Linked DNA regions of Stegostoma tigrinum. The protein of the gene in region 1 purifies or fractionates together with the protein of each later gene. This does not show direct contact. Links are inferred from orthologs where the notes say so. Each region holds a gene or a part of one and is shown on either strand. Other genes may lie near its edges. The genes, in order: ripk1l, rnf216, map3k7 and chuk.

Region 1 (7,142 bases):
ATTTCTGGTCCACTTTTCCCCTGTTGTCTACTATTAACCCTAATGGTAGTCAGGATGTGGGTAAGAAAATAAATCAGGAGATAGAAAAGACATGTAAAAAAGGCACTATTAGACTAATTAAGAAGGACTTCAATATGCAGGTGGGGTAAATTTGAAGGGCTGAATGGCCTCCCCCTGTGCCTATTTTCCATGTCTTTATCCCCAGAACTACAGCTTGTGCCAAACTTGTGTTTGCCGTGTTAGCTGCTGGCATATGGAGCAGGTGTAGCCTAGACAGAGCAAGATGTCATCCAGTGACATGACCATCCCCTTGACCGTTCACAGTTGACAACCGCAACCAGCTGCCTGGCTTTCAGCCTGCATTGAAAGGCAAGACAGGACAGATGTACTGTGAGCCCTGTGGGTCCTGAATGAGGCAGCAATGTGAAAATTGGCAAGGCTAGCCAGAGATGCTGTGACCATACAATTAGGCAAGAGAACGGACATGAATAAAGCAAGCTAAGAACCCTGAGCTGCACCCTGTCCTGATGCAGGAGATGGGTGCCAGTCCCTGTGGACAAAGTGGCCTGGCAGCAGCATCACATTGTAAGGTGTCAGTTAGATCCAAAGTGCCGTAGTGAAGTGTAGAACTGTATTCCAAGTGATTCGGAGATATGGCACAATGATATGGAGAGACTGATGCTTGGCCAATGCCAGTCTCCGTGGATTTGGGATGCATGCAGTCCCTTCTAGTGGGGCATGTCCCGCAAAGCTGGAGAATTCTTATCAGGATTCAGGCCTTGAGAAGACAACAGTAAGCTGCCGCCAGGAGGTACCCATTCTGAATTATGTCAGGATTGTCACCATCCGGTTTCTCTCTGCTGCCTTGGTAAAATGACAAACTGCATGACAAAAAGATTAGGCAAAAAGAGAGAGACATTTAATGCCTGCAACTAGGCTCCTCACATTGCACGAGTGAGCCTCTCACCTAACCAGTGAGACCTAATGCACAAACTCTGAACTCTTCTTAAGTTTGAGAATCTCATGTTTCCATTCTCGCCACATTTTTCTAACTGAGTTGCCATTGTCCACATCATTCAGGGACTGGGAAAATTCTACCCCACAGTTAAATGACCTCTCGTGTTGTAATGAATATATCCTCAATAATAGGAGAGCTCAGCACATCAGTGCAAGAGACAAGGCTGAAGTATTTGCAACAGCCTTTAGACAGAAGTGCCAAGTGGACAATCTATCTCAGCCTTCTCCAGTGGTCTCCAGCATCACAGACGCCAGCCGTCAGCCCATTCAATTCATCCCACGTGATATCAACAAACAAGTGGCAGCAGTGGATACGGCAGGGCCCTGACAACGTTATAGTAATAGTACTGAAGACTTGTGCTCCAGAACTTGCCATAAGATGCTGCTTGGCCTGCTGTGTTCATCCAGCTCCACACTTTCATTATCTTGGATTCTCCAGCATCTGCACTTCCTATTATCTCTGATATCACTGAAAAAGCTGTCCAATACAGCCACAATACTGCCACCTACCAGACAATGTGGAAAATTACACAGGTATGTCCTGTACACAAAAGGCAGGACAAATTCAAACCAGCCAGTTACCGTCCCCTAGGTTTACTCATGATCACCAAAAAAAATGATGGAAGGTGCCATCAACAGTGTTATCAAGCAGCACCTGCTCAACGATGCCCACTTTGGATTCATCCAAAGCTACTCAGCTCCTGACCTCATTACAGCTTGAGTGAAAACATGGGCAAAACAGCTAAACCTCAGCTGTGATGAGAGTGACTGCCCTTGACATTAGGGCAACAATTGATTGAATGCAGCATCAAGGAGCCCTAACAAAACTGGAGTCAGTGGGAATCAGAGGGAAACACTCTGCTGGTTGGAGTCATAATTGACACAAAAGAAGAGGCTATGGTGGTTGAAACTCAGTCATCTCAGCTCCAGGAGCTCCTCAGGATAGTGTCCTTCATCCAACTATCTTCAGCTCCTTCATCAATGACCTTTCCTCCATCATAAAGTCAGAAATAGGGATGTTTGCTATGATCGTGCAATGTTCAGCACCAGTCATGACTCCTCAGATACTGAAGCAGTACATGTCCAAATGCATAATGACATGAACAATATCCAGGCTAAGGCTGAAAAGTGGCAAGTAACATTTGCACCATAAAAATGCCAGGCAATGACCATTTTCCACAATACAGAATCTAACCATCGTCTTTGACAGTCACTGACACGAACATCACTGAATCCCTCACTATCATCATCCTGGGGCTTACCAGAAACTGAACAGGACTAACCATATAAAGTGTGGAGTTGGATGAACACAGCAGGCCAAGCAGCATGATGGAATGGAGTTGGGGTAAGGGATACTTATTGCCATCAGGAACTGTACCTTTGATTCACAGAATTAGAGCATAGGTGACTATTCTTACCAGTCTGTCTGCAGCAGCTGTCTGAATGAACGACTCACTCAGTACCTATATCCCACCTTCTCCCTGGAACCCTGCACACTCATCCTTTTCAGTTAGCTGTCTAATTCCCTGTTGAATGCCTCAACTGAACTTGCATGCAGCACACCCAGACACAGATGTTCCAGAACCTGATCACTCATTCTGTGGAAAAGCATATGGAGCTTTTATTTCTTTCACCAATCACTTTAAATCCCCGCCCTCTCATTTCTGATTCTCTCGCTAGTGGGAATGGTTTCTCCCTCTATTCTGTCCAGACTACTCCTGATCACGGGTAGATTTCCACACCTTGCAATGTTCACTGGAAACCACGTACTGTCCAGGGAGGTTTCAGAAACTAACGGAGTTGGTTCCTCTGCTGCTGACTGTCCTCCATCCCCTAAAGTTGCTTCAGACCCCATGAGGAACCTCAGGGTCACAAACTCCTTTACAGGATACCAATGTGCTGGCTGCAACGCTTTTAACTACAAGGCAGGTCTCAGCGATGGTGTAGCTAGACCTCAATCAGCACTGGGAAGCTATCAGAAGTTTAAGAGTTTTTAAACAACATGGTGCAATTAAGGACAGTGGGCGGGTAAACATCGTCACCGCTCAACTTGAACTATATCGATAACAGGATAATAAAATGTGAGGCTGGATAAACACAGCAGGCCCAGCAGCATCTCAGGAGCACAAAAGCTGACGTTTCGGGCCTAGACCCTTCATCAGAGAGGGGGATGGAGTGAGGATTCTGGGATAAATAGGGAGAGAGGGGGAGGTGGACCGAAGATGGAGAGAAAAGAAGATAGGTGGAGAGGAGAGTATAGGTGGGGAGGTAGGGAGGGGGTAGGTCAGTCCAGGGAAGACGGACAGGTCAAGGAGGTGGGATGAGGTTAGTAGGTAGGAGATGGAGGTGCAGCTTGGGGTGGGAGGAAGGAATGGGTGAGAGGAAGAACAGGTTAGGGAGGCAGAGACAGGTTGGACTGGTTTTGGGATGCAGTGGGTGGAGGGGAAGAGCTGGGCTGGTTGTGTGGTGCAGTGGGGGGAAGGGGACGAATTGGGCTGGTTTTGGGCCACCCGAAGGTTGCAGGAACAGCAACTCATATTCCACTTGGGACCCCTGCAGCCCAATGGTATCAATGTGGACTTCACCAGCTTCAAAATCTCCCCTTCCCCCACTGCATCCCAAAACTAGCCCAGTTCTCTCCATCTTCGGTCCGCCTCCCCCTCTCTCCCTATGTATTCCAGAACCCTCTCCCCATCCCCCTCTCTGATGAAGGGTCTAGGCCCGAAACGTCAGCTTTTGTGCTCCTGAGATGCTGCTGGGCCTGCTGTGTTCATCCAGCTCCACACTTTGTTATCTTGGATTCTCCAGCATCTGCAGTTCCCATTATCACGATATCGATAACATCTGCTTTTACTGGAACTTAAAGGGGGTAAGCATTTCCTGACCAAATGAAAGCTGCAAATGTGTTTCCATGCACTGAAGTCATCTACAGAACTTGCAGACAACCGAGCTAACATGAAATGCACATGCATAGCTTTCTGGTCTTAATGGAACAAAATGTCAAAAAAAATTGAGATACACAGACTCACACGACTTTATAACAACTGCTCGACATTAAGACACGAGGTGCTGCAGCTGATCTTGTTACAGGGTATTTCCCAAATAGGCGGCGCTCGAAGGCTGTTTTGCAACACGGAAGAGGATGTAGGCAGGAAAGAACAACGCGGAAAGAGCAATGTAGCTGATCTCCCTAGGACAGGCCGGGCAGGTAAGGACACCAGGAAGAAGGTGAACAGACTGAGAGCCTATTCCCTACATCCCCCAGGGAGAGGGTTCAGGAGGCTCGAAGCTTTCACTCCGCCCGGGCTGTAAGAGTGATACCGAGAACTGCAGAGATTTCCCTGTAGAAACCCCCTCCCTCACTGTGCCCGCGGCTATTCGGCCCTTCCTGCCGACTCTAGCACTTGGAAAGGTGGCGCCGACGTTCTCTTTCCGCTGAATGTAATGGCGACTTACTGGGCAAGGGACAGTTCGGGCTCCGCGGCCAGTTTCTGTTCTACAGTTCGTGAGATGTTGGGAATCACGACCCTTCCACGCGCACCCCCCCTCCCCCAGCCAAGAACACAACCCCTCTTCCCCAAAAACACTGCTTTTCGCCCAACACAATTCGCTACCCCCTCCAACTCCTTCCTTTCCTCTGCAAACCACAATCTCTCCATTTACCAATCAACTTCTCCCCCTCCTGCCCAAGCACAACTCTTACAACCACCCCTTCCGATTTCCCAAACACAACTTCTTTCCATCCACTCCCCATCAATTCTGTCGACTGAAATCAAACTACGAAGAGACTGGAGATGCGCTGTTTTAACCACCCTCTTGTAGCCCTCTAACTGTGTGAGTTGTTTGTTCACTGACAGTGCGAACAGGTTTTACTTTGATTTGAACCATCTCAGTATTGGCCTAACCTGATCCACTTGCTTCCTCTGAACTTTCAGCAGAGTCAAGTTATGTGATGTTGACTTGTTGTGTAAATGAATATGTTCAAATGTTCTAACTTCAAAATAAAATCGGTAGATTTAGTGTCAGACTTATCATGTGGGCAGAATACTGTGTGCAGTCTCTGCTTGAAGCAGTTAGAGAAGTTGACTGGGTAGATTTCTGGTTTGAAACAAAGAATCATAGAAACAAGGAGTAATAGTAGGCCATTCAGCCCTTTGAACCTTCTGTGCCATTCAGTATGACCACGGCTAATCCTTTATCTCAATGCTATATTCTCACTTTCTCCTCTCGTTTTCGTTAGAGAGAAGGAGGTTAAGAGGTGACTTAATAGAGACATACAAGACGATCAGAGGATTAGATAGGGTGGACAGTGAGAGCCTTTTTCCTTGGATGAGATGGCTAGCACGGGGAGACATAGCTTTAAATTGAGGGTGACAGATATAGGACAGATGTCAGAGGTAGATTCTTTACTCAGAGTGTAGTAAGGGCGTGGAATGCCCTGCCTGCAACAGTAGTAGACTTGCCAGCTTTAAGGCATTTAAATGGTCGTTGGATAAACGTACAGATAATAATGGAATACTGTAGGTTAGATAGGCTTCAGTTTGGTTCCACAGGCCGGCACAACATCGAGGGCCGAAGGGCCCATACTGCGCTGTAATGTTCTATGTTCTCCCTTTAGGTGCCTTTAAAATCGCAATGGAATCCGCCATAGTCTCAGATATACTCAGTCAGTTGGCCGACATAGCTTTCTGCTGGAGGGAGTTCCACGGGTTTTGAGTGAGGAAAGTTTTTCTCACCTCAGGCCTAAATAGCCTATCTTTTATCCTGGGACTCTGTCCACTGGTTCTAGATTCCCCAACTAGGGAAAACCTTCTGCGTGCATCTAACCTGTCCAAGGGAATGAAGGTTGGGCTGCTTTGACCTATATTTATTGGAATCTGAGGTAAATTAAATGCTGAGAGGTCACTTCCTATTTGCATAGAATCTAGAATCAGGAGACACAGTTAAATGATAGGGCTGTCCAGTTATGATGGAGGTTAGGTTAAATTTCTCCTGCTGAAGGTATTTAATGTCAGAAATTCTCTTCCAGAAAGCTTTGGAGGCTGAGACATTGAATAGACTAGCGCCTGGAATTAGAGAGATTTTTCATTGACCAAAGTGTTGGGAGCAGTCAATAAAGTGAAGGCTACAATTGCATCAGTCATGGTCTAATTGAATGGCAGAACAGGCTTCTTGGTAAGTGGCCTACTCCTGATTTCTTATCATGTTAGAAGATCGTGACTTGACGCTTCATTCCAGAAACCTAAGCACATGGTCTAGCTTGATCTTCCAGCGAAAGTACTAAAGCAATGTTAAACTGTCCAAATTGCTTCCTTTTGGGGCAGTGTCAGGCCATAGATGAAAGTGTTTTCTACAGTGTGGCATCAAAGAGACCGAGCAAAACTAGGTTTGGTGGAATTAGACAGAGCATTTTCTACTGGTTGGTATGATACTTTGCAGAGAAGAAGATGGTTGTGATTGTTGGAAGTCAATCATTTCAACTCCAGCATATCTCCACAGGAACCCCTCAGAGTAGTGTTTTCGATCCAGCTTGCTTCATCAATAATCTTTCTCCATCGTAAGCTCAGAAGTGGGAATATTTGCTGATGATAGTGCTGAACATTGCACTGTTCGCGATGCCTCAGGCGCTGAAGCAGTCCATGTTCAAATGCAGTAAGACTTGAACAATAGCCAGGCTTGAGCTGACAAGAGGATAGAAACTTTCGTGCCATTCAAATGCTAGGCAATGACCATCACCAATAAGAAAGAACTTAATGTTGCTGTTTTATATTGAATGGCATTATCATCACTGAATCCCATAATATCAACATTCTGGGGGTTAAAATTGTTCAGAATTTAGACTGGACTAACCATATAAATACTATGGCAACAACAGCAGGTCAGAGGCTAGGATTCCTGTGAGCAATTCAGCACCTAATACTTGAAAGCCTCTCCACCATCTATGAAGGACAAGGTAGGAGTGTGATGGGAGTTCCAGCAGTACTCCAGAAGTTTGGTATAATCCAGGACAAAGCAGCCCAGTTGATTGACACCACATCCACAAATAGTCACTCCCTCCACTACTGACCTTTGGAAGCAGTTTGGAGCATTTATAAGCAATACTGCAGAAATTCACTAAGGCTCCT
Region 2 (7,446 bases), on another chromosome or scaffold:
GCTTAACCATACAGTCCTTCTTGCTAAGTGCTTTGCCATGGGTCATGGCCTGGTGACCAGGCTTGAGTCCCTTTGCCGTGGTGCTGGAATGAAAGTCAAAACTCTTTGTTTCCATCACCATCTCTCCACGATGAACCCTTGCTGGATCTCGCCAAAGCAGACGCCACCAATGCCGGCTACCACACTGGCCTTACCATGAAGAGTCTGTTTCGGGCCCACCTTGCCAGTGCAGCTGCAGCCAATGCCACAGGGTGTCATACCCGGGGAGCTATATTAGCAAGCAGACAAATCCTGTCAGGTGGCTGGTGCTTGGTGTATGTTAACTTGTGGAGTGGCTTCAAGTTTACAGTGGGCTGACCAGAGGAGCTTTGGATTAGTTGAGTTCAAACACAAACAATAGGGTTTCAGCAGCAGATGAACTGAGGCAAAGATAGGAATAGATAGTGTTACGGAGGTCATTATGTTGGAGAAGATATAGAATTATATTGCAAAGAATTTTACAGCACGAGGGAAAGCTATTTGGCCAAACAGCAGTTTGGTTTCATGCTCCTTACTAAGCCTCCTGCCACCTCACTTCATCTTATCTTTTAAATCTTGTGCTTTACGCTTTTACTGCTAACTGCACACTGAGATAGCTGTCTGGACTATCCCTGGTTGCTAATGTTTATTTCCTCATGTCTAAATAAGGTTCTTTAACTCTTGTCTACTGCAAGACTCCCTTATTTATATTTATGCAACTCTGTATGCACGGACATACACATTTTTTACATATGTACACAGCATACAGCTCCCTATAGTAATGTCCAAGAATTGTCCCTTGACGCACTCATTCTCGACAAGTGCCTTCTCCCTTACTAATGATACAGTTATATGATCAGCTATATCTTTGTAATTTACATGAATCTCATGTACCACAATCCTTATAATCCACTTTACCTCATCTACTTATCTGATTTTTCATGAAATTTTCAACTAAAATGTTAAATGCAGTAAGGATGCTGGAAGTCTAAAAACAGAAAATGAAGGCCATCTGCTACCCACCCACCAGCCCCCTGAAAGCTGGGCAACACGGTGAGGTTTTGTATTGTCACTGCACTAGTAGTGCAGCAACTGAGGCTACTGGGATTGTGGGTTCAAATCCCACCAGGCCAGCTAGAGTGACTAGCCGTAATAATAAAACTATAACTAATAATTGTGACTATGACAAAGAGAAACAGCCATCTGGTTCAGGGAGGAAATCTGTTTTAATTACCTTGTGCCTTCAGATCTTCAGTGATGTGGTTGAGTCCGAAACTACTTTATTTCCAGGGCATTTGAGGATTGGTAACAAACGTTACCCTTGAAAGTGTTATCCACATTGAATGAACAAATGAACAGTCAGGTAGGATCTGTGAGAACAGAAGGAGTTGACTGATGATTTCTCACCATCTTTCAGTGCTTGTGGTTTGTTATCAATTCTGTGCTTTTACTTGATTTTAGTTTCCTTTCTATTATGATTCCCATTAGTTGTGCTGATGGTGTTTGCTTTCTCAGTGACTTTCCCTTGATTTGTTGTGATTCTTCCTGCAGGAATGACTGACTGAACAGGTAGCAGTGATGCAAAGGTGCTGTTGTTGGACCGGGGTGAGCAATGTCAGAAATACCAGGTTATAGTCCAACAGACTTATTTGAAAACACAAGCTTCTGGAACCTTCTCTTCTTTTTCAGGTGTTGGTGAGAGAGGTGGTATCAGACAGAATTTATAAGTAAAAGATCAAAGGGTCACACCACTGGTCAGGATGTATTAAACAAACTTGAGATGCTGTTACATCTTTAATTAGCTGGAAGGTTTTAATTGATTAATATGTGTATGTAAATCTCCAAATTCCTTATAAGTCACTATTCTCAGAGAACTAAAGAAGAGGTTACATTTTGGGTCAGACAATGCATGTTACGTGTGAGGCCTTGTTTAGAATCTGTTTGCGTTTTGGTTTGGGGTCGGACTGGTTTTGGTTCTAAAATAGGAATTGTTAAAATGCCACATTGACTGACTATAAATTGTGCGCTTTTTGAACAAAATAGAATGATTCTGCAAATACAAGCTCACCCCATAGGTTAGGTTACCACAAACATATGGATAACTTCACAATGCTGCACTTCTCTAGCTTCCATCCTAAACATATTAAAACAGCCATCCCTTACGGACAAGTCCTATGCATACACAGAATCTGTTCAATTGAGGAGGAACGAGACGGAACCTGAAGGTGTTGAAGGACACCCTCATACCATAAGACCATAAGACATGGGAGTGGAAGTAAGGCGATTTGGCCCATCAAGTCCACTCTGCCATTTAATCATGACTGCTCGGCATTTCAACTCCACTTCCCTGCACTCTCCTTGTAGCCCTTGATTCCTTCTGAGACCAAGAATTTATCGATCTCTGCCTTGAAGACATTTAACGTCCCGGCCTCCATTGCACTCTGTGGCAATGAATTCCACAGGACCACCACTCTCTGGCTGAAGAAATGTCTCCTCATTTCCGTTTTAAATTTACCTCCTCTAATTCTAAGGCTGTGTCCACGGGTCCTAGTCTCCCCGCCTAACGGAAACAACTTCCCAGCGTCCACCCCTTCTAAGCCATACATTATCTTGTAAGTTTCTATTAGATCTCCCCTCAACCTTCTAAACTCTAATAAATATAATCCTAGGATCCTTAGCCGTTCATCGTACGTTAAACCTACCATTCCCGCGATATGAACAGGATGCGATGCTCAATTCGTCGATCGCCAGTTCTGATGTGCCACAGCGAAGAACTGTAATGACCTCCTCAAAAGACAGACATGGGATACAGTGGCTAGGATACCCCTCGTTATTCAATTCTTCCTGGGAGTGGAGAAACTACACAATGTCCTTTGCAGCCTTCAACACATTATTGATGACAATGAGCACCTCGCCAAGATCTTCCACACGCCTCCACTTCTCACCTTCAAACAACCACCAAACCTTAAACAGACCACCGTTTGCAAGAAACTACCCGGCCTTCAGGACAACATCGATCACAACACCACACAACACTGTCATGGCAAGCTTTGCAAGACATGTCAGATCATCGACATGGACACTACCATCACACAGGGTAACACCATCCACCTGGTGCAGATACTCATGCAACTCAGCCAACATTGTCTGTCACACACACTGCAGGCAAGGATGCCCCGAGGCATGGCATATTGGCAAAAGTATGTAGACGCTACGACGACAGATGAATGGGCAGTGTGCAACTATTGCCAGACAGGGATGTACCCTCCTAGTGGGGGAGCACTTCAGCGGTTACGGACATTTGGCCTCGGATCTTCAGGTAAACATCCTCCAAGGCAGACTTCGGGATACACAACAACGCAGAGTCACTGAGCAGAGGCTTATAGCCAAGTTTGGTACCCATGAAAAAAAAGCCAAAAGAACTGCGATGCTGTAAATTAGGAACAAGTTGCTGGAGAAACTCAGCAGGCCTGGCGGCATCTGTGAAGGGTAAAAAACAGAGTTAATGTTTCAGGTCTGGTGGCCCTTCCTCATTTGTGCCCATGAAGATGGCCTCAACTGAGATCTTGGATTCATGTCGCACTACAGGTTTCCCCACCACTCTATACACTCTCACACGCACGCATGCATACATTCACACTCACACACACAGTCTCTCTCACACGCGCACACACTCCAAGTGCGCACACATACACACACACCACACACACTCTCTCAGACACACACACATACATACACATGATCCTCTCTCATACATTGTCTCTCAAGCATGCGGGCGCACTCACTCACACTCACTAACATACTCTCTCTTCTCCCTCACACACATAAATCTATGTGGTAAATGTTGTGAACTTGTATTTGCAGATACAGTCTATTTTGTCCAAAAAGCACACAATTTGTAGAAAGTCAATCTGGTGTTTTATGAATTCCTTCCTAATTTAGAAATAAAACTAGTCTGATTCCAAACCAAAACATAAACAGATTCTAAACAAAGCTTCATACGCAACATGACCTAAAATATTACCTCTTCTTTACACCGATAAAACCTTTAGGTTTCTCTTAGGACAGTGACTTTAAATGAATTGGGGATTTACATATATATATTAATCAATTAAAAGCTTCTAACTCATTAAATATTTGACAGCATCTTATGTTTGTTTAATACATCCTGATTAGAGGCGTAATCCCTTGATCTTTTTCTTATAAATTCTGTGTCTGATACTACGTCTCTCAAGAACACCTGAAAAAGGAGAGAAGCTCTGAAAGTTTGTGTTTTCAAATGAGCCTCTTGGAGCGTAACCTGGTGTTGTGTGATTTCTGATATTGACTAAACGGGCCTGGGACTACAACTCCCACAATCCACCGCGTGGTTACGTTTGCCGTCAGGCGGTTAACGTGGCGACGCTAGCACGTCAGTTCCTGTGTTTGGAGGTTGCAGGCTGAGAGGAGTCAGGGCCTGGGCTTGCGGATCGCTATGGGAGACCAGGCTGTCGGTAGGAGAGTACACAGGGACAACGCACGGTAGTCGGACCACCTGAAAGCATCGTCTCCGTCTGCGCTGACCTCCGGCCCGCGGCAAACGACCGAGGGAGTCACCTCCGAGTCCGGCCTCTTGCTCAACAGCCTCAGAGTTGGTGAGAGACCCGAGAAACTGACCCCCGCGCCCTGTTCGGGGACTGTCCGCCTCTCACTCAGGGACAGTGACAGCAACAAGACAACTTCACCATGAGTCCCAGCCCCAATCCCACCCCGACCTGTATCCGCACCCACCCACTCCTCACCGATCCCCTGCTCCCAGACCTCGCTGTCCCACACCCTCACTCCCAGACCTCTTTACCCCGGACCTCACTCCTCCACACCCCCATCCCGCACACCCCCAGACCACTTCCCCCAACAGCCTCCTACCCCACCACCCCCTTCTCTCTCTCCCCCACCTCCATGTTTGATATGTTCAGTAGATTGTCAGGCCATTGGGCAACACGTTGGAAGGTAGAGGGAAAGGTTTCACTTTTTTGCTTCCAAAAAACTGTACAGTATTTTGATTTAAGCACCTTTGCTGTGATACTGTCAGTGTTTTTAACAAATGTCTAATGTTGGAAATGGTGCAGTGTAACATGGGGGCTGGGGATGTTTTGACACAAGTGGCAAATCTGTAGTTTTACTTTGTTGTCCTAGTTCAGCTGATGTGGTGATGACATTTGAGCCCATCTGCTATTATTTAATCCTCCTCTTGCCTCCCCCTCCCAAGTTCCGAGTAAGTTCATGTTTGCCCAAAAACAATTCAGAGATTCCACATTTAAAAACAGAGGGCTTTCCTTTGGAGGTGGCTAGCTACTTGCTATAGGGGTACCTGACCTTTTTCAAAGTCATACATATATGTTCAAGGATGAAAAAATAAATGTTGGCAATGGCAACACATGTTTTTACATAAAATATATGCAGTTCCTGCATCGATGTTTTTAATTAACTCACCAGGCATGAAATATTCATGTGGTAATCAGATTTAATTCATTGCCTTTCAGTCAGTGTATTTTCTCTATGCAAGGAAATTTTGATCATGAGGCAAATCACAACACCATATGCTGGCTTTGTTCTGAAGATATTTTAAATGAAAGGTGCTTGGAACCATGTGCAGTTTGCTTTGCATCAAGCAGCTCACCACGCTTCACAGGAGTGTCACATTTTCAAGCTGAAATGACTCCTCTATTGAGTCATAATTGACAGCCAGACTTGAAGCTGTGATGTGCCTGAAAAACACATGCAAGAATTTCTGTTGGATGGAAATGCCATAGTCATAACTGGAACACATCACACTTTGTTTATTGTATGTAGCTGAACATTTAAGACAGGAGGATCCTAGGTTTAGACTTTATCTTCTGAGGCAGCAAAGTAGTTACTTTAACAAAAACAGAAAATTGGTGAAAATGAGCAGTTCTGCCAGCATCTATGGAGAGAAAGCGGAGTCCAGTGACTTTTCATTGGAACTCATTCTCTCTGAAGAGTCATTGGACTTGAAATGTTAACTGCTTTCTCCCCACAGATGCTATCAGGCTGAGTTTCGCCAGCGATTTTCTGTTTTTGTTTCAGATCTCTAGTGCCCACAGTTCTTTGTTTTATTTAAGTTGTTATTTTAGCCTGGGTGTTGATGGATTTGGAGGGGGAAAATCAGCCTGGGTTCCTGTATCGTAGAGATTGTTTGAGAAGATTGGGTATTGAAGTGGAAAGTACTGGAAACACTTAAGCTTTTTAGAAAGCTTCTGTGAAGAAAGATGATTTGTTACCAGCTCAGAATGCTACTCATGTTTTCAGTTAAATAGTTCCTAATGCATGCTATCAAGGCTTGAATTAAAAATATCCACTCTGATGAGATGCTTTCCATGTCTATGGAATTTTTCCTGCTACTGGAATCTTCCTGAGCCCTGTATCCTCTCATGCACAACTCTTTAGTCTCTGGCCAAGGCCATCCCTCCTCTCTTTATCACTACTCAGGCCAGAGACTTTGGGTGTCACATTTACTTGAATTTTCTGAATTTGTAACTGCCTACATTGGCGTAATGATAGTCTTCTAGCCTTCTGATTCAGAGGTGAGTTCAGGACTTGAGTGTATAAGTTTTTCAAAATAATGTTGAGGGAAGTTGCAGGATGAGACAGTAAAACCAAAGTCAGTAACCTTTTCAAGTGGGCATGAAAGAACTCTTCAGAAAGAAACAGGAGATTCTCCTACAGCAAACTGCAATGGATGTTGACATCTGAAAAAGAAAACACAAAATGCTAGAAATACTCTGCAGTTCAGATAGCATCTGAAGAAGGGCCAGCATCTAAAATATAGTTAGTTTTTTTTTCCAAGGATGATGCCAGACCTGTGTATTTCCAGCATTTCCTGTTTTTATTTAGAAAATTTTTCTGTTCTGTTTTCTGTAAAATCCAGAAACAGGTGGTTGGTGAAAAACTAGGTCACATTTTGTTAAATTTTGCCAGTTCCTTCCCCACCTTGAGGTGTGGGGAGTGCTTTTGGGTGTCAGGGATTGGGGAGTGGTTTGCTGGGTCTTGGGCTGATCCTGGGCAATGGTTAAGGTGCTGTTAGCTCTATTGACTTTCACTTTATCTTTTGGCATGTTCAGTAGTACCAGCTAGTTTCTCTACATGTCAGATTGAAAGGTTTCTTATGTCACCGTTTTCAGTTTCATGGCCAACCTTTCTTCTTCAAGCAGCACCAGCAAAAACAGCTAAGCCTTTTTCTCTCGTTTGCTGTGCTCATTGCAAATGACGTCGTTTGTCATCAAAATAAAAAGTACTGCTTTGTTCCTTGAATAAAAAAGCAGCCTCCACTACACTCTCCTTCAATAGTACCGTTGCTGGTTTACAAAGTTTTGTCCTTGGTGTATTCTGATCTCCTTTCAGATGCATCTAGCTGTTATTTTACTTTAG
Region 3 (7,482 bases), on another chromosome or scaffold:
ATCCCAGGGATCAGTCTGGTGAACATTCCTTGCATTTCTTCTATGCCAAATATATCTTTTCCACTAACTGAAATCAAAACTGTACACAATACTCCAGGTGTGGTCTCAGGAAGGCTCTATAAAACAATCATGGTAACACTTACTCCTGCAATCAAATCAACTATCATTAAAGGCCAGCATTCTACTTGCCTTCTTAAATGCTTGCAGCATTTGCATGTTAGCTTTCAATTACCTAAGGACAAGGACAGCCAGACTCCTTTAGACATTAACGCTTCTAAATCTCTCACCATTTATTAAATGTTCTGCATTTCTCTTTCCTACCAAAGTGGATACTTTCATGGTTTTTTCACATTATATCTCATTTACCATATTTTTGCTCACTTACTTAGCTTTTCCAAATCTGCTTGAAGCGTCTCAAGTCACATTCCCACCTAGTTTCAGGCTGATGTGTGTAGCACATGGGATGTATAAGTTACTAGATTTACTTTAACATTTTAAGGATAATTCAAAGAATCATTCAATGGTTGCAGCACAGAAGGAGGTCATTGGGCCTGTCATGTCTCGAGCAACTCTACACAAAAAAATTAAACTTGTATTACTCCACTGCCTGCTCCTTTCAGTGCTGCAAATTTCTGCTCTTCAGATAGTGATCCAAAGCTATTGTGCAAGTTGAATGTGCTAATCAAGAAAATCTGGAATTGTTCTTGCTCTTGAAATCACCTCTTTAAACAATGTTCTCTTTTCCAATTATTAACAGGAGGAAGCTCCTGCACAATTTGTTTATATTTCCCTCCAACATGACATTGATCAAAAGTATTTCGTCATTTATGTCATCCTTGGAGAATAATTTCATTGGAGAGAGAACATCAAATGAAGCTTCAATATCAAGTTTAAGGTCTTCATTTGTTACTTTAACAAAAAGGCTTTACAAGCTCATGGAAGTTTGGACACTGAACAATTCAATATATTCTAAAATTGAATATGTGAAGACAAGATCGATCATATTTTTAATCCACAGCATCTGCTCAATTAACTCCAATCATTTGATTGATTTTGTAACCATCCTCTCAGTCAGTTTACTTGTACAGGTTTCTTTACTGGATCACAGTTAGGAACAAGACAGATGACAGCCCAGGGATTCCTGCTTCTTTGACTGCATTGCAGGGACCTCTGCTGGAAGCCCACAATGGTTAATTATTGGATTGGGCTCTGCAGTCAAATTCTACTGCCACTGTTTTCAGTCTTAATTACATCAAAATGGTTTGAAACATTTAGAATTTTAGGATAGTTTTTCTTAATTCATGCTGGTTGTAAATTTTAAGTAAAATCAAATTCATTGCATACTTTCAAAGGTACAAATGAAATTCTCACAATGTCCAGTGTCACAAAATGTAGTGGCTAAGTGGCAGTATCCCAAATCTGTGCCAGATTCAAGTCCCACTTGTTCCAGGGCTGTGTATAACATCTCTCAACAGGTTGTTTTTTTTAAAAATACCTTGAACTGGATTCTCATTGACTTGAGATAGTATAATATACAATACAACATAGAAACAGATCTTTCATCCTAAGAGTCAGTTACTTTTTATTTAATTCTATGCTAATTTAAATACCAAAGTAACTGAAATCCACATTCACCTATCACAATATAGTAGATAAGTGCACATCATGCTCACTTAAAATAGTCACATTCATCTGTACAATGGATTAGAACAAAAGAATTTGTTGGTTGACTAAAAGGGAGATGTTAATGCAATCTCTACAGTTACAGCAATATTGCAATCGCATTTTCAAAAAAAGAAAGCCAAATCTGAAACAGTTACATTGTTAAAAATGGAAGGCTGAAGATCCATCAAAATTTGGCATAGCTTTCTTCATTATGCAATGGGAAGTCATTTCTCCCCCACAAAAAGTTAATTATCTACACTAAAGATTAGTTGGTAATCTACAAGTTCACCAAAAACATCAACCTTCAGAATCCTGGAAAATCAACAGGAGCAAATGTTATAGCCTGGTAGTTCCTTACTGCAAGTGCATATATTAGCAGCAAGTTAGACAGAATTTAAACTTTTACTTTAGACACCAAGTTGCTGGGGAAGAAATGAAATCAGTTTGCCATAACGAGGAAAGTATTCAAATAATTTCTGATCATGTTTATACAGAGTTTATAAACAAAAGCTTTCAAGAAAAACAAGGAATATAAATAAATAAGTATAAGTATATCCCAGTTAAACAATTCAAATTTTGTAGCCACTCTTTTCCGAACTGTCTTACGTTGGGGGCGGGGTACTAGGATGCACAAACGACTAAAGTTCTCGTTCAAATTTAAAAAAAACTCAAAAAACAATAAAACTCTCCACAATTCTCACATACTCCAATGCACCAGAGAGAGACAGTATGAGATTACCAGAAGACATCAGACAGCACGAGATGTACCCTTCACTAACGTGTTTACAATCCATCTAAATGATCTGGACTTTAACCCATTTCCTTATTCTCTTAAACAAAACGGACGAGACTGGGGGCAGGGTGTTGCGGGCAGGGCTCGCTCCCCTTCCCCACGCTGGGGCCTAATACTTGACTCTCTCCCCTGGTTTGGTGTCTCCCCCAAAAGCAACAACACCCCACCCCCCCCCAACCCCGGCTCTTGCCTCACCTCCTCCACATCAATCTCATTGTAGTCGATCTCCTCGAAGTGCAGCGGGGGGGTGTCGATGATCTCCGCCGACATCCCTACAGCCGGCAGTGGGGGGCGGTCAACCCCAGGCCCCTGGCGCAAGCCGCCGGGCCGCCCGCCGCACTCGGCCTCTCGAATTCGCCGCCGGTGTCAGGAGCGGAGTTCGCCGAGGCCGGGCCGCGATTCCTGCAGCGCTCCGCTCCCACCAGCTTCGTCCGGCATTTCCGGGGTTAATCCCAGCCCGCAAACATCCGGGGAAAAGCGGCTTGCCGCCGGAACTGACGCTCTACACGAACGCAGGGATAACTAGTGGCAGAGACACACGGGCGATCCAGAGAAACCGCCGTCCCCAGGGAGGACGGATGGGTGGGGCGGAGTACTGGCAACGGTAAAAGAGCTTCCTACTACGCCTGCGTGACCTACTCGCCATTCCAACATCCGCGCCTGCGCAGCACTGCTTGGAATCGCTGCGCGTGAATTTTAAATTTGAAAGTTTTTTTTATAACCGGCGAAGCCGGAACTTGATTTAAAGCGACCTTTTCCTCACCGGCTGTCAGCATCGTTTCAAATGAGGACTCCGATGAACCCGGACTGTGAGCACAAACTCTGCTTCTCTCTCCAGACGCTGCCGGATCTGAGGAACGGTCACTGGACCCGAAACGTTAACTCTTGTTTTATTTTCCGTTCACAGATGCTGTCAGACCTGCTGAGCTTTTACAGCAGCTTCTGTTCTTGCTGCTGTGGGATCTGCCGAGTACCTCCAGCAATTTCTGTTTTTGTTGTTACGATCTCCAGCGGCCTTAGTTATTTGTTTTGTCGCATAATCGTTTTGCACTTACTGCACCAGCTCATTCGTTTCGCCGAGGAACTTTTCACTTCAAACTGAATAAACGGCCATCAGTTGCCGTGGTGAAAGTGAACATTTTATTCCAGCAAAACGTCTGAGTTTCGGTGGTGGAGTGACTGAATGTTTGTGGATATGGTGCCAATCCCTAGCGGGCTGCCTTGGCGTGGCTACTAGTTGAGTGTTGTTGGAGCTGAACCCATTCACAGACAAGTGGGGAGTACCCTGTCATACCCCTGACTTGTAAATGATGGACAGGGCTCTGGGAGGTTTGCAGGTGAATTACTTGCTGCAGGTTTCCTCCCATCTGACCTGCTGTTAAGGCCACAGTATGAATAGTTCAGTTCAGTTCCCGGTTAAGAAAACAGCAGGACATTGATTGGAGATCACAAAGTGCAGAGCTGAATGAAAACAGCAGGCCAAGCAGCATCAGAGGAGCAGGAAGGCTGACGTTTTGGGCCTAGACCCTTCTTCAGATATTGGTTGGCGTGGGCATTGGTGGCCTGGTAAGATAATGCCATCAAATGTCAAAGGGAAGTTCTTACTCAGTTGTTTGAAATGGTTGTTGCCTGGCACTTTTGTTGTATGAATGCAACTTACCATTTATTAGCTCAAGCCAGCAAGGCTTGGGAATTGTGATCAGAGATAATGGGAACTGCAGATGCTGAAGAATCCAAGATAATAAAATGTGAGGCTGGATGAACGCAACAGGCCGAGCAGCATCTCGGGAGCACAAAAGCTGATGTTTCGGGTCTAGACCCTTCATCAGAGAGGGGGATGGGGACAGGGTTCTGGAATAAATAGGAAGGGGGGGGTGGACCGAAGATGGAGAGAAAAGAAGATAGGTGGGGAGGTAGGGAGGGGATAGGTCAGTCCAGGGAAGATGGACAAGTCAAGGAGGTGGGATGAGGTTAGTAGGTAGGAAATGGAGGTGCGGCTTGAGGTGGGAGGAAGGGATAGGTGAGAGGAAAAACAGGTTAGGGAGGCAGGGACAAGCTGGGCTGGTTTTGGGATGCAGTGGCGGGGGACGAGCTGGGTTGGTTTTGGGATGCAGTGGGGGTAGGGGTGATTTTGAAGCTTGTGAAGTCCACATTGATACCATTGGGCTGCAGGGTTCCCAAGCGGAATATGAGTTGCTATTCCTGCAACCTTCGGGTGGCATCATTGTGGCACTGCAGGAGGCTCATGATGGACATGTCATCTGAGGAATGGGAGGGGGAGTTAAACTGGTTCGCAACTGGGAGGTGCAGTTGATTGTTGCGAACCGAGCGGAGGTGTTCTGCAAAGCGGTCCCCAAGCCTCCGCTTGGTTTCCCCAATGTAGAGGAAGCTGCACCGGGTACAGTGGATACAGTATACCACATTGGCAGATGTGCAGGTGAACATCTGCTTAATATGGAAAGTCATCTTGGGGCCTAGGAAGGGGGTGAGGGAGGAGGTGTAGGGGCAAGTGTAGCACTTGCCTCCCTAACCTGTTCTTCATCTCACCTATCCCTTCCTCCCACCTCAAGCCGCACCTCCATTTCCTACCTACTAACCTCATCCTGCCTCCTTGACCTGTCCCCTCCCCACCTATACTCTCCTCTCCACCTATCTCCTTTTCTCTCCATCTTTGGTCCTCCTCCCCCTCTCTCCCTATTTATTCCAGAACCCTCTCCCCATCCCCCTCTCTGATGAAGGGTCTAGGCCTGAAAAATAAGCTTTTGTGCTCCTGAAATGCTGCTTGGCCAGCTGTGTTCATCCAGCTCCACACTTTGTTATCAAGGCTTAGGAATTAGATTCTCAACAATCACCTGCAGAAAAGTACAGTAACCCTAAACGTCAGCTTTCCTGTTCCTCTGCTGCTTGACCTGCTGTGTTTATCCAGCTCTACGCCTTGTTATCTGAGTAAAATTGCAAGTCACCTTTTACAAATACTGGACTTCTCAGAGTTCTTACTAGTCAATGCAGTAGTTTTCCAACTGTAGAAACTCTGTGAAGTAGGAAACAAGGTGATGATCACTGTACAGTTAACTCAAAAAATGTGATAGTAACCAAATAACCTTTCTGTGATGTTGACGATAAATCAAATATTATCTAAAATACTTTTGATAGTACAGATTGGAGTATCTTAATTTCTATGCTCAAGCTCTGGAGTGGGACTTGAGTCCAGAACCTTACAGCCTAAGAGGCAAGAGAATTACCCTTTGAGCCAAGGCCAATTGGCATCTTGAACATGTACAGTACAATGTTATGGGGATGTCATGGGTTCTAACCATTTTGCTTGAGTATTGGAAAAATGTCTGGGAATGTAACAGAGAAGTCTCATCTCTACCTTCTGCATTTTCTTTCTGGCTAGCCAGTGATGAAATGGATTCGGACATGCTTTCCCAGGGTAGCAATGAAGCTGGGTTGATGCCAGGCTGACAGGCTCAAATGCAGACTTCCATTTATTGTGATATCGGTCCTGTGTTAATGATCAATGTTAGGTACTTAAGCCTTCATGTCGTACTGTCCACCCACTACATGCCACCTCTATAACCCCTCAGATTCCTTATTCTTTTCATATCATCTATAGTCCAGAGTCCCTCCATGTTCTTCAAGTTTCCCTTGCTTTGTCACACTTCCCATATGTCTCAAGTATCCTCCGGAGGCATTCACCCAGTACACACCACGGAAACAGCTCAGGATCTTAAAAAAAAAACTCAACAATCCAATTTCACTTGAAAATCTTCTCTTCCTCTGTGGAGTTACTCCACCTTTATAATCAAAAAATATGGAATTAGCACATTATCAGTGGTAAGGATGCTTCCCATAACAGTGGAAATAAAAAAGGGGAAAAAAGAAAAAAACTTACCTTTCCAAAAAATTAGATCCCTTCAGGCAGTCAATTGATTGTCGGAATAAACATCACTTCCACTATCCCATCAAAGATAGATAAGCCCTCAATATTTTCTCACAACTGGCCGTCATGCGTATACAGCTGAAATAGTGGTTCATAACCTTTTGAAACAGCCCAAGCATTCATCACAGGCTCAGATGGAATAAAAATCCCTGTGAATAATTAACAGTCGAGTCTGTTGCAACTAGAAAAAACCTAGATGACTGTTTCGTTCTGAATTACACCAGATGTCCCGCCAGTCACCACAGCCTAGGAACGTCTAAAGCAGATAAATACTACAGTGCAGAAGGCGGCTGTTGGGCCATTCACATCTGCATCAGCTCTTAAAATGAGCACCATTTACATCTCCTACTTTTTCCTCATATTCTTGCACATAATTGTGCAATGTCTTTTTGAGTGTCTCAATTGAACGTGCTTCCATGAGGCTTCAAGGCAGTATAGCTACTTTTGCAAATCATTTTAAATCTGTGCCGTCTCATTCTTGTTTCTTTTATGAGTGGGAACACTTTCTCCCTGTCCACTCTATTTAGCCTGCTTATGATTTTGCAAACTTCTATCAGATCTAAAGAGAACCGTCTCGCATCTTCAATCTATTCTCAAGCAAGTGAAGTAGGACTTTTTGTCTCTATAATTGAAAGCTGCAGGTTTTGCGCCCTGTTATTGAAAGGCATATAAAATCCAGCCTACAGCTTTTGGTTGTCACATATGCATGTGAAAAAATTTCATACATAGCTCTATGGAAAAAATGTCTTGGTGAAGAATAATCATTGTCCAGTGGAACACATGCGAGAAAAATAATCAGAGTTCCTGCAGGACTCCAAAGGTTATCCTTGAGGCTTGAGAGTCATCACTTCACTCTGAAATACAAGTCAGGAAGATAAATAGTGATTAGCAGATGTCCTATCTCTGTTGCCACCACAGGAGAAGCATGAAATAAAACATCTAGATATAAAAATCTATCACCTAATGAACATAGTAACAAGGAAACTGAGTCAATTTAGTTATCAATGAAGACAAAATGTTCTGGAAGATCTCTCAGCAAGTGATTCAGGGATATCTGTTTAGTTGATGCAAACACATGCAG
Region 4 (7,834 bases), on another chromosome or scaffold:
TAATCTTTGTTCTTGTTGGCAGTCTGGGCATCCAATCCTGGGCACCAGACAATAATGCCTCACCAACATCTTCATTTTGGAGACACCTGGATGACCCTGGTGGAGTTCAGCCAGTATCTTGCAGTGACCTTTGCTTGAGACAATCATTCTTGCTCCCCATAATAATATGCCATTTTCTATTGTGATCTGGTCTCTTTGGATTCAAAAAAGTTTCAATTCTGATTGTGACAGCCCTCTTAGAGTTCCAACACCTTACAAGATGATCACTGATTCTTCAATTCCCTGAAAGCTTTTGTTTAGCTATTCAAACATTTTCAAGGCTTGTTTTTTAAGAGTCGATGCAAAGCTGCTGGGATGGAGGTCAGGTAATGTATGAATTTTCTGTAATAATTCACCAGCCCAAGGAAAGACCTAAGCTCTGGTACAGCTTTGGCAGCCAGGGCACCTTTGATCACTCCCAATGTATCTTCCAAAGGGTGTAACCTAGTCTTCTCAACTCTAGCCCAAGTAAGTTACTTAGGGTGCTGGGAACACGCTGTTTTCCCTCCTAAAGCATAAGCCTGTCGGGGAGAAAAGTTGAAGGACTATGTCCAAATTCTCTAAGCACCAATTACTGGTATTCCCTATTATTAGCACATCATCTAGATAAATGACAACCTGGGGTGGACTTTGTAAAATGTTCTTCATAATCCACTGGAAAATTGCACAAGCTGACGATACCACAGATGGCAATCTCATATATTGGAACAAATCATTATAGGTATTAATTATAACATACATCTGGGAATCCTTATCTAACCACAACTGGAAGTATGCTTGGCTCATGTCCGGCTTTGTGAAGGTCAGTTCCACCCACCCACCGCACATCATAACCTTTAATTCCTTTACTGTTCAAAAATCAATCTTTGCTTTCAAAACATTCAACAAGATAGTCTCAACTGCTTAACTGGGCAGGGAGTTCCACAGATTCACAAACTTTGGGAGAAGAAGTTCCTCATCATCTCAGTCCTAAATCTGCCCCTCATTTTGAAGCTTGCCCCCTGTCCTAGGTTTCACCCACCAGTGGGAACAGCCTCCCTGCCTCTATCTCATCTATTCCCTTCATAATTTAAATGTTTCTAATTCTTCTAAATTCCAGTGAGCTAGTCCCAGGCTATTCAATCCCTCCTTATAAGCCAACCTTCTCAACTCCAGAATCAACCTAGTGAAGCTCCTCTGCAACCCTTCTGGTGCCAGTACATCCTTTCTCAAGTAAGAACACCAAAACTGATGGGTAGTAAATGGTGGGGTCTTTGCAACTGACAGAGATAAAACAAAAACAAAAAGACCTCCCACCCCCATCGCCCATTTGCTTTGACTCACTAAATGTACAGTAAATCCATTCCATCACACTGCACTTCATCTGTGAAAAGCTTTAGAGTACTATATATCTGAAACTCAGCAGTTGAATTTTTCTCTAGTTATAAGAGCATTTGCCATTTACAACCAATGTGAGTCTGTGACAGCATGATGTGCTTGAAATTTATTATTACTTCAAAAGTTTTCATGACTCTAGGTTGTTTTTACAAGATAGTCTTTCGGGTAATTTGCATCATATAATATTTTTAGCTTCATAAAATAATATTGAAACTTCAGAAATAAATATTAGAATAAGTACTTTATTGTTGTCTTGGGAATCAGAATAGAAGCAACATACAGACACACGGTCTCCATAGAAAGGAGAGTACATATTTGGGGATTAGTAAGTAAGTATAAACCATATTCACAAAGGACCATAGTAAAGTTACAGTAACATGTCCAAGACCAAATCTACTAGTTGCAGTATGGAGTCAGCAGATCTTGGTTAGATTGCAGACTGGGCTCAGTCAAACCAATACAAAGGTGTGGCAAGATTTAACCAAAATGAGTACTTTGTTATGAAGACAAATTGAAGTACCGCGCCCAATTTGGGTGATTAATCATTCTCCCACACATGAGTTGTAGAAAGCGTATAAACCTGAAATTTTAAAATATGTTTATTTTTCCAAGATACTTAAAGCAAAAGAAAATTTATCTCAAACAAGTTTTCAGGATCTGGGCTAACAGCAGATTATAAGTTCGCATTGTACTGGTTTAATTGTATCAGTGACAGTAACATAAAATCTTTTTGGCTCAAGTTGAGGAAATGTTGTCTTCTAAGTAAACCTTTCCTGTATTTAATCATAGGAGCAAACACTATTACATTTTACCAATTTTGGTTACAGCCTAGGCGCAAGAACAGTTCCCACCTCGTGAGGGAAGTGGCGAAACCTAATGCTAGAGAGAATCTACATAAATCTCAGCACTTAACTATGTCCAAACTCATATCACAACTTCCATATCCTGGTAAAAGTGCAGTAATTCTTACATATGTAAATGTAGTGTTAACCTGAGGAAATGTCAAAGAGAAGGGATTGAGTGGGTAGCTGAAACCAAATTTGAATTTCTCATCGGAATGTTGCATTCTCATCTCCATGGATATATGAAGCTCAGCTGCATGAAAGCAGGCAATATGTGAGAGGTTATGCTACCTGTAACTTGGAAAAAAAAAGGAATGAGTATAACAATGTGACAATAAGAAAAATGCATTAGTTTATCCAGTTCTGTGATTCTGGATGTGAGTTTCGGCTTCATCAGAGGCTCACTGATGATGTTATCTAGAATGGTGACGAAACGTCTGAAAACTAACCTTCCAGCTCAGTGAGCAAACTCACATCCAGAACCTCAACCTGAGCTATAAATCTTCTCAAAACTTGCAAGTTCTGTGATTATAACTTGTGGAAAATATGTCATTTTGTTACTTTTTACAATAATCTTCAGATTTTCAGCTTGATATCTACAAACTGAGTAAAAGAAATCTACACAATATTTACTCCACACATTCAAAATGGACAAGAGTATTTTTAGTATACAATTTCAGCAGTTAAACATAGACTGTCTGAGTCCTAAAATACCTATTTATTACAGTAATCAACAAAAACAATGCTTCCTGGTGTGAAATGCTTTCCAGATATTGTACAACAATTTTAGACAAGTACCACTTACCATTACAAAAGCAAAATATACTGTATAAATAGAATACAGTGGTTAGGAACACTGGAGTATGGTTTATACCTAGTTGATTCTACACAAATAATACGATAGAAGTAAAAGGGTAAGATGTTGGATAATATCAGCGGGTCTGGTGATGTCTGTGGAGAGAGAAACAGAGTTAATATAGAGTTCACAATGCCTTCTTCAGAATTGAGGGCAGCTGGAAAAATGATTTTATGCATTGGAAAAAAAGGGGAAAGAGGAGCAAAGGGAGAGGATGGGAAGGGTATCACAGGGAAAAAGACAAAGGGATTGCTCAAAGATTGTAGAGAAGCAATGTGAAGTGTAAATTTTTATTTGTGGTATGTCCAGGAAATGATCGTTCTTTTTCATCCTCAAACATTTCATACAATTGCAGAGACTCTTATATTGCATCCAAAATGCAGTTTAAAGTACATTGGTTAGGTCATACTTTAAACTTTTAAAGTTAATTTGTGTAATCATGAGGGCAATAGATGCATGTGAACACCACCACCTGTAAGTTCTCCTCCAAGCTATATTGCTGTTACTTAATTGTCACTGAGTCAAAATACTGGAATTCCAATCCTAACAGCAATGTGGATGTTCCTGTACTTCAAGGAATGCAGTTGTCCAAGAAGGCAGCTCATAAGCACCTTCTTCAGAGAAATTTGGGATGGTGTCCTGGACAGCCACATCCCATGACCAATTGTAAATTTCACAACATTTCCAAGTCTTTTGCTGTCTACAAATTTTGAAATTGTGCCATGCATAGCTTTCTATTTATAGTCCCACAACATTGGCCACTGCTGTAAAATCACTGCAATATCTCCAACTGCAAAGATAATTCAGGTTATGTTGGCTCATGAGTCACAATGTTCCATGTAACAGCTTGGCTGCAAAGCAGCAGACCACAAAACAAAGGGGAGGTTTTAAAAATTCTTTCACAGGATGTTAGAGCCTGTTGAAGCAATAGAGAGCAGCCTTCTTCATCCGCTGTAGCAAATGTACTGCATTTGGGGTGTAGGTCTCTTGAAAGTATTTAGAGCAAGTGTGAAAGGTTCTGGAAAGTTAAACTCCCATGGTCCGTGGTCAATAGATCCCTCAAGCATTATCAGTAAAGCAAATTATGTGGTCATTATTACATGAATGTTTGTGGCAGCTTGCTGTGAAGAAGTTGGTGGCCATGTTTCCTTAATTACAGCAGTTGACAACACATAAAAAGAACCAGTGCTTCATGATAAAGAACGATGGCATTTCAGGAGTCGTGAAAGGAGCTATTAAAATGCAAACGTTCTGAAGAAAGTCACATAGGTTTAGTCATTCGACGGAGTGACTGGTGTTGGTTTAACCTGAGGGTCATCACCTTTCAGGTGAAGAGACAAGTTGGAGGAGGAGGGTCCTTCATAGTAACCTCAGCCGGTGCTTGAAACGGACATGATAGATGCTGCCAGACTAATCAAGTTTCTCCAAAACACATTTAAAAATTTCAGATTTCTAGCAAATTATAAGTGGGAAAGGCTGATCAGCACTCAGTCTGTTTACTTTTGCTTTCGGGTTGAGAAGTTTGTTACTTCACCCCATGCACAACTCTCCCGCGAGAGCACGTGAAAAGATGCCACCCACGCCCCAGGTCCGCGACACACCTAGCTGTCAATCATTGCGGAGGCTGGCCCTCCAGGCCATGGGGGCGGGGTTTCACACTAAGCCCAGGCGTAGCGTCTTATCGAGAAAGAACTACAACTCCCGGCGTCCCGCGGGCGCGCTTGTGTGTCGCAGTTGCGGGAAATGTCTCTGATCAAGATTGATGAAAGAAGCAAAGTGTGATCACTTCTAACGTGTTTTTATTTGTTTTTCCGCATCGCAGTTTAATCATTTCTGCCTCCAGGAAGCGATTCCTTCGGTTAGCTTTCGGCTGCAAGGTAGGATTCGTAAAGGAGTCCCCGGTTTGACTGTTGGAGTTCCCTTAAACTAAGGCCTAAAGTGTCACTGTGCCGTGAATGACTTGCGTCTGTAATCGGTTGAGCATCAGTTGATGACATTGGAAAATGTGTCTTTGCGAAAATAGTTTGGATAACATACTTTTATGGCAGACTTTTATTTTTCTGTTGTTCTTGGTTCTCTTAAAAATGTTTTTAGATTTTCTGGTTATTTTGAGACTAGTGTGTATGATGTCATAGTCATGCCATCAACTTTTTGCCAGGACTTGGCCTAAGGTCGATTTATGTTAGCTAAAATGGGCAGGTTTCCCTTGGTTTTATTAGATCCTGGCATTTATTTTTAATCAGTACTTCAGTATGGTATTCGAATGATTAGTTTACAGCTCGTCCATTAGATTGAGTGGCATGTCAAATTTTTGAAACTGGATCACCTCCTTAAAGGAGGTTGGGGATGATTTTTCTTTCAGAGATTTTTGAGACAAGAATCTGCTAATTTTTGAATTTGGAGCCAAAAAATAATCACAGCAAAGATCAAAATGGTCGGGCATGCACCTGATTTATATTGCCTTATGATCTGTACTGCTTTTTCTAGTTGCTGCAGTTGTCAAAGACACCGAAGAATGCCATTATCATGAAGTGAAAAGGTATAGTCAAGAGCACCCTTCCAGTTCTTTCCTCTACTTAGGCAAATTTTGTATGTTTTCACGATGTTGGAAAAGGTCTTAAGCCTGATGTCCAAACCATGTCAAGGGGAGGCAGACAGTAGCTTCAAGAAAAGTCCACTTCTTATTCCTTGAGACCACAGGAGGCATTTAAAACACTGCAGCAGTGATTGATTTTTCTCCTTTGCTCCTAAATGCTATCTCTATCTACAGCACTTTTATAATTGTAATGGAGTCCTATAAAAGCAAGTATATACAGGTTATAATGTCTGTTTGTGGGCAGGATGATAAGAAAAGTTCTAATTCTAATAATTCCACATTATGCAAGGAAGCACCAAAATTTGAAATTTGAAGACTTTGGAGTATATATTATAGCTTAGATTTTCACAACAAAACCTAATGTTCATATGTAAATGTATAAGCATTGTCCAATGTACCCTTTAAATTTATACATCAAAAAGTGACATTTATTAGTAATTGAAAGAAGTGGGATGAACAAGTTAATAAATGATATCTTTCTGACTTGGGTTTTGCACCTTTTTAATATTGTAGTTTAATTTTGTAAATGTTCTTGCTCTTGTGAGGTTTATGTAGAGATTCAATAAAGTAATTGTTATAATTACAGGTTACATTTAGTTATGTTTTTTCCCACATTTTGTCTTTAATGATTTGAAAAAGTAATGCATTCATATTCAAATTTACAAAGGAAAAACCCAGGTCACATTTGGTGCAAATTATGTCCTCCAACAAGCAATATGACATAGTGGATGTATTAGATAAATTCAGAGATGGTTTGAACAGGAAATGTACTGAAGGCTCTGAAAATGTAGCAGAAGGTGCCTTCTTGGTTATTATAATGTTATTATTATCATTATCAGGACTTAAGAACGGGAGTTTGCCATTCAACCCCTCAAGTCTTTCAGTGAGTTCATGGCTGATCTCTGTCTTGCCTCCATCCAGTCATGTCACTATATACGATTACCTTTCCTCGGAAAATGTATTGATCTTCAATTTAATTGTTTGAGTGCAGGATTTCTTTGCTGAAAATAAACATTTTGTCAAACTTTTAGTCTTGTGCTGGGTCAGGACATTTAACAAAAATACAAGTTTGAAGGGAAAATTCCATTTTTACTGCATGAGCAGAGTGCTGATTGGCAAATTAAAGCCAACATAAAAATGTAGTTGAATTTTAAGTCTAAATTGTGTTCAGAGTAACTCCCATTTCCTTGATCTATTGTTGTAACTGAAATAGTAGCATCTTTATAAGACAGCCATGCTGTTATGTTGAATTAATCACAGTTGCAAGTTTCAGCAAGTTGCATGCATTCAGAAGGCTATAAAATTAGGCAGAAGATTGGAAATAGCATTCCTATCAAGCTCTAACCTTTTTCCTTTACTATTTACTGGGAAATTGATGACTGGACATATGATTTTATACAGCCTTTTAAGATACTTTTCAGTTACTTAAAATTGGGTTATCACTAGTTTGTGGATGATTAAAATGCATAAGTTTTTTTGTGAAATAATTTTAGCTCAGTTAATCAAATTACACAAGGTTGCCATTCTTGCATCAAGAATTCTTTCAAGTATAGAAGAAATCACCATTGTTCTAAAATACTGTCTAATCTGGCATGTGGCAAAAATTACATATGGTGATACTCAAATTAATTTGGACATACTTCTCAAAACTTAATACAATTAACACTGACTAACCAAACATAAATTTGTTCTTTTGTACTGTGGATGAGTAAAATGCAACAAAAATTGAAATAATAAATAAGAACTTCATAGCCAAACTTTACATGACCAAGGAAACATTAACAGCAAGGTTTTGTGTTTGTTTGTGTGCAAAGGGGTTCAAGAGAAAAGAAACTTTTAAGCTGAGTTTTTGCAAACATGAAAGCCCTTCTAAACTTTACAGAGTGCAACTTCCCTCACTAAATGTGGCTGAATTATCTACAGTTGCATGAGAATGCAAGCAAATGTCCATTGGCCTGTATCCAGAAATAAAAAATCAAGCAGGTTTGGTTGTATTGGTGGAATTTTGGTGCAAACCACTTGCTTGAAAAAACTCTGTCTCTCCATGAAAAGTCAGGTCAATGACAGTATCCTATGTATAGAGAGGCAAATACATCAACCTAATCCAAACTATTGGTTCCCTAG

What was found.
Region 2: the proteins of ripk1l (region 1) and rnf216 purify together in Homo sapiens (affinity purification with western blotting; 3 studies listed by BioGRID). This does not show direct contact. The link is inferred for Stegostoma tigrinum from reciprocal best matches to the Homo sapiens genes RIPK1 and RNF216.
Region 3: the proteins of ripk1l (region 1) and map3k7 purify together in Homo sapiens (affinity purification with western blotting; 5 studies listed by BioGRID, with this or other methods). This does not show direct contact. The link is inferred for Stegostoma tigrinum from reciprocal best matches to the Homo sapiens genes RIPK1 and MAP3K7.
Region 4: the proteins of ripk1l (region 1) and chuk purify together in Homo sapiens (affinity purification with western blotting; 3 studies listed by BioGRID, with this or other methods). This does not show direct contact. The link is inferred for Stegostoma tigrinum from reciprocal best matches to the Homo sapiens genes RIPK1 and CHUK.

What each region holds. Positions count from the first base shown.
Region 1 is NC_081355.1:12,792,591-12,799,732, reverse strand, and holds the start of ripk1l (receptor-interacting serine/threonine-protein kinase 1), read left to right. Parts: upstream 1-4,128; 5' UTR 4,129-4,225; intron 4,226-7,142. UniProt on the Homo sapiens protein: Serine-threonine kinase which is a key regulator of TNF-mediated apoptosis, necroptosis and inflammatory pathways.
Region 2 is NC_081376.1:11,500,491-11,507,936, reverse strand, and holds the start of rnf216 (E3 ubiquitin-protein ligase RNF216), read left to right. Parts: upstream 1-4,437; 5' UTR 4,438-4,652; intron 4,653-7,446.
Region 3 is NC_081357.1:54,993,822-55,001,303, reverse strand, and holds the start of map3k7 (mitogen-activated protein kinase kinase kinase 7), read right to left. Parts: upstream 3,016-7,482; 5' UTR 2,729-3,015; coding exon 2,654-2,728; intron 1-2,653. UniProt on the Homo sapiens protein: Serine/threonine kinase which acts as an essential component of the MAP kinase signal transduction pathway. Plays an important role in the cascades of cellular responses evoked by changes in the environment.
Region 4 is NC_081390.1:13,731,702-13,739,535, forward strand, and holds the start of chuk (inhibitor of nuclear factor kappa-B kinase subunit alpha), read left to right. Parts: upstream 1-4,812; 5' UTR 4,813-4,991; intron 4,992-5,601; 5' UTR 5,602-5,653; intron 5,654-7,834.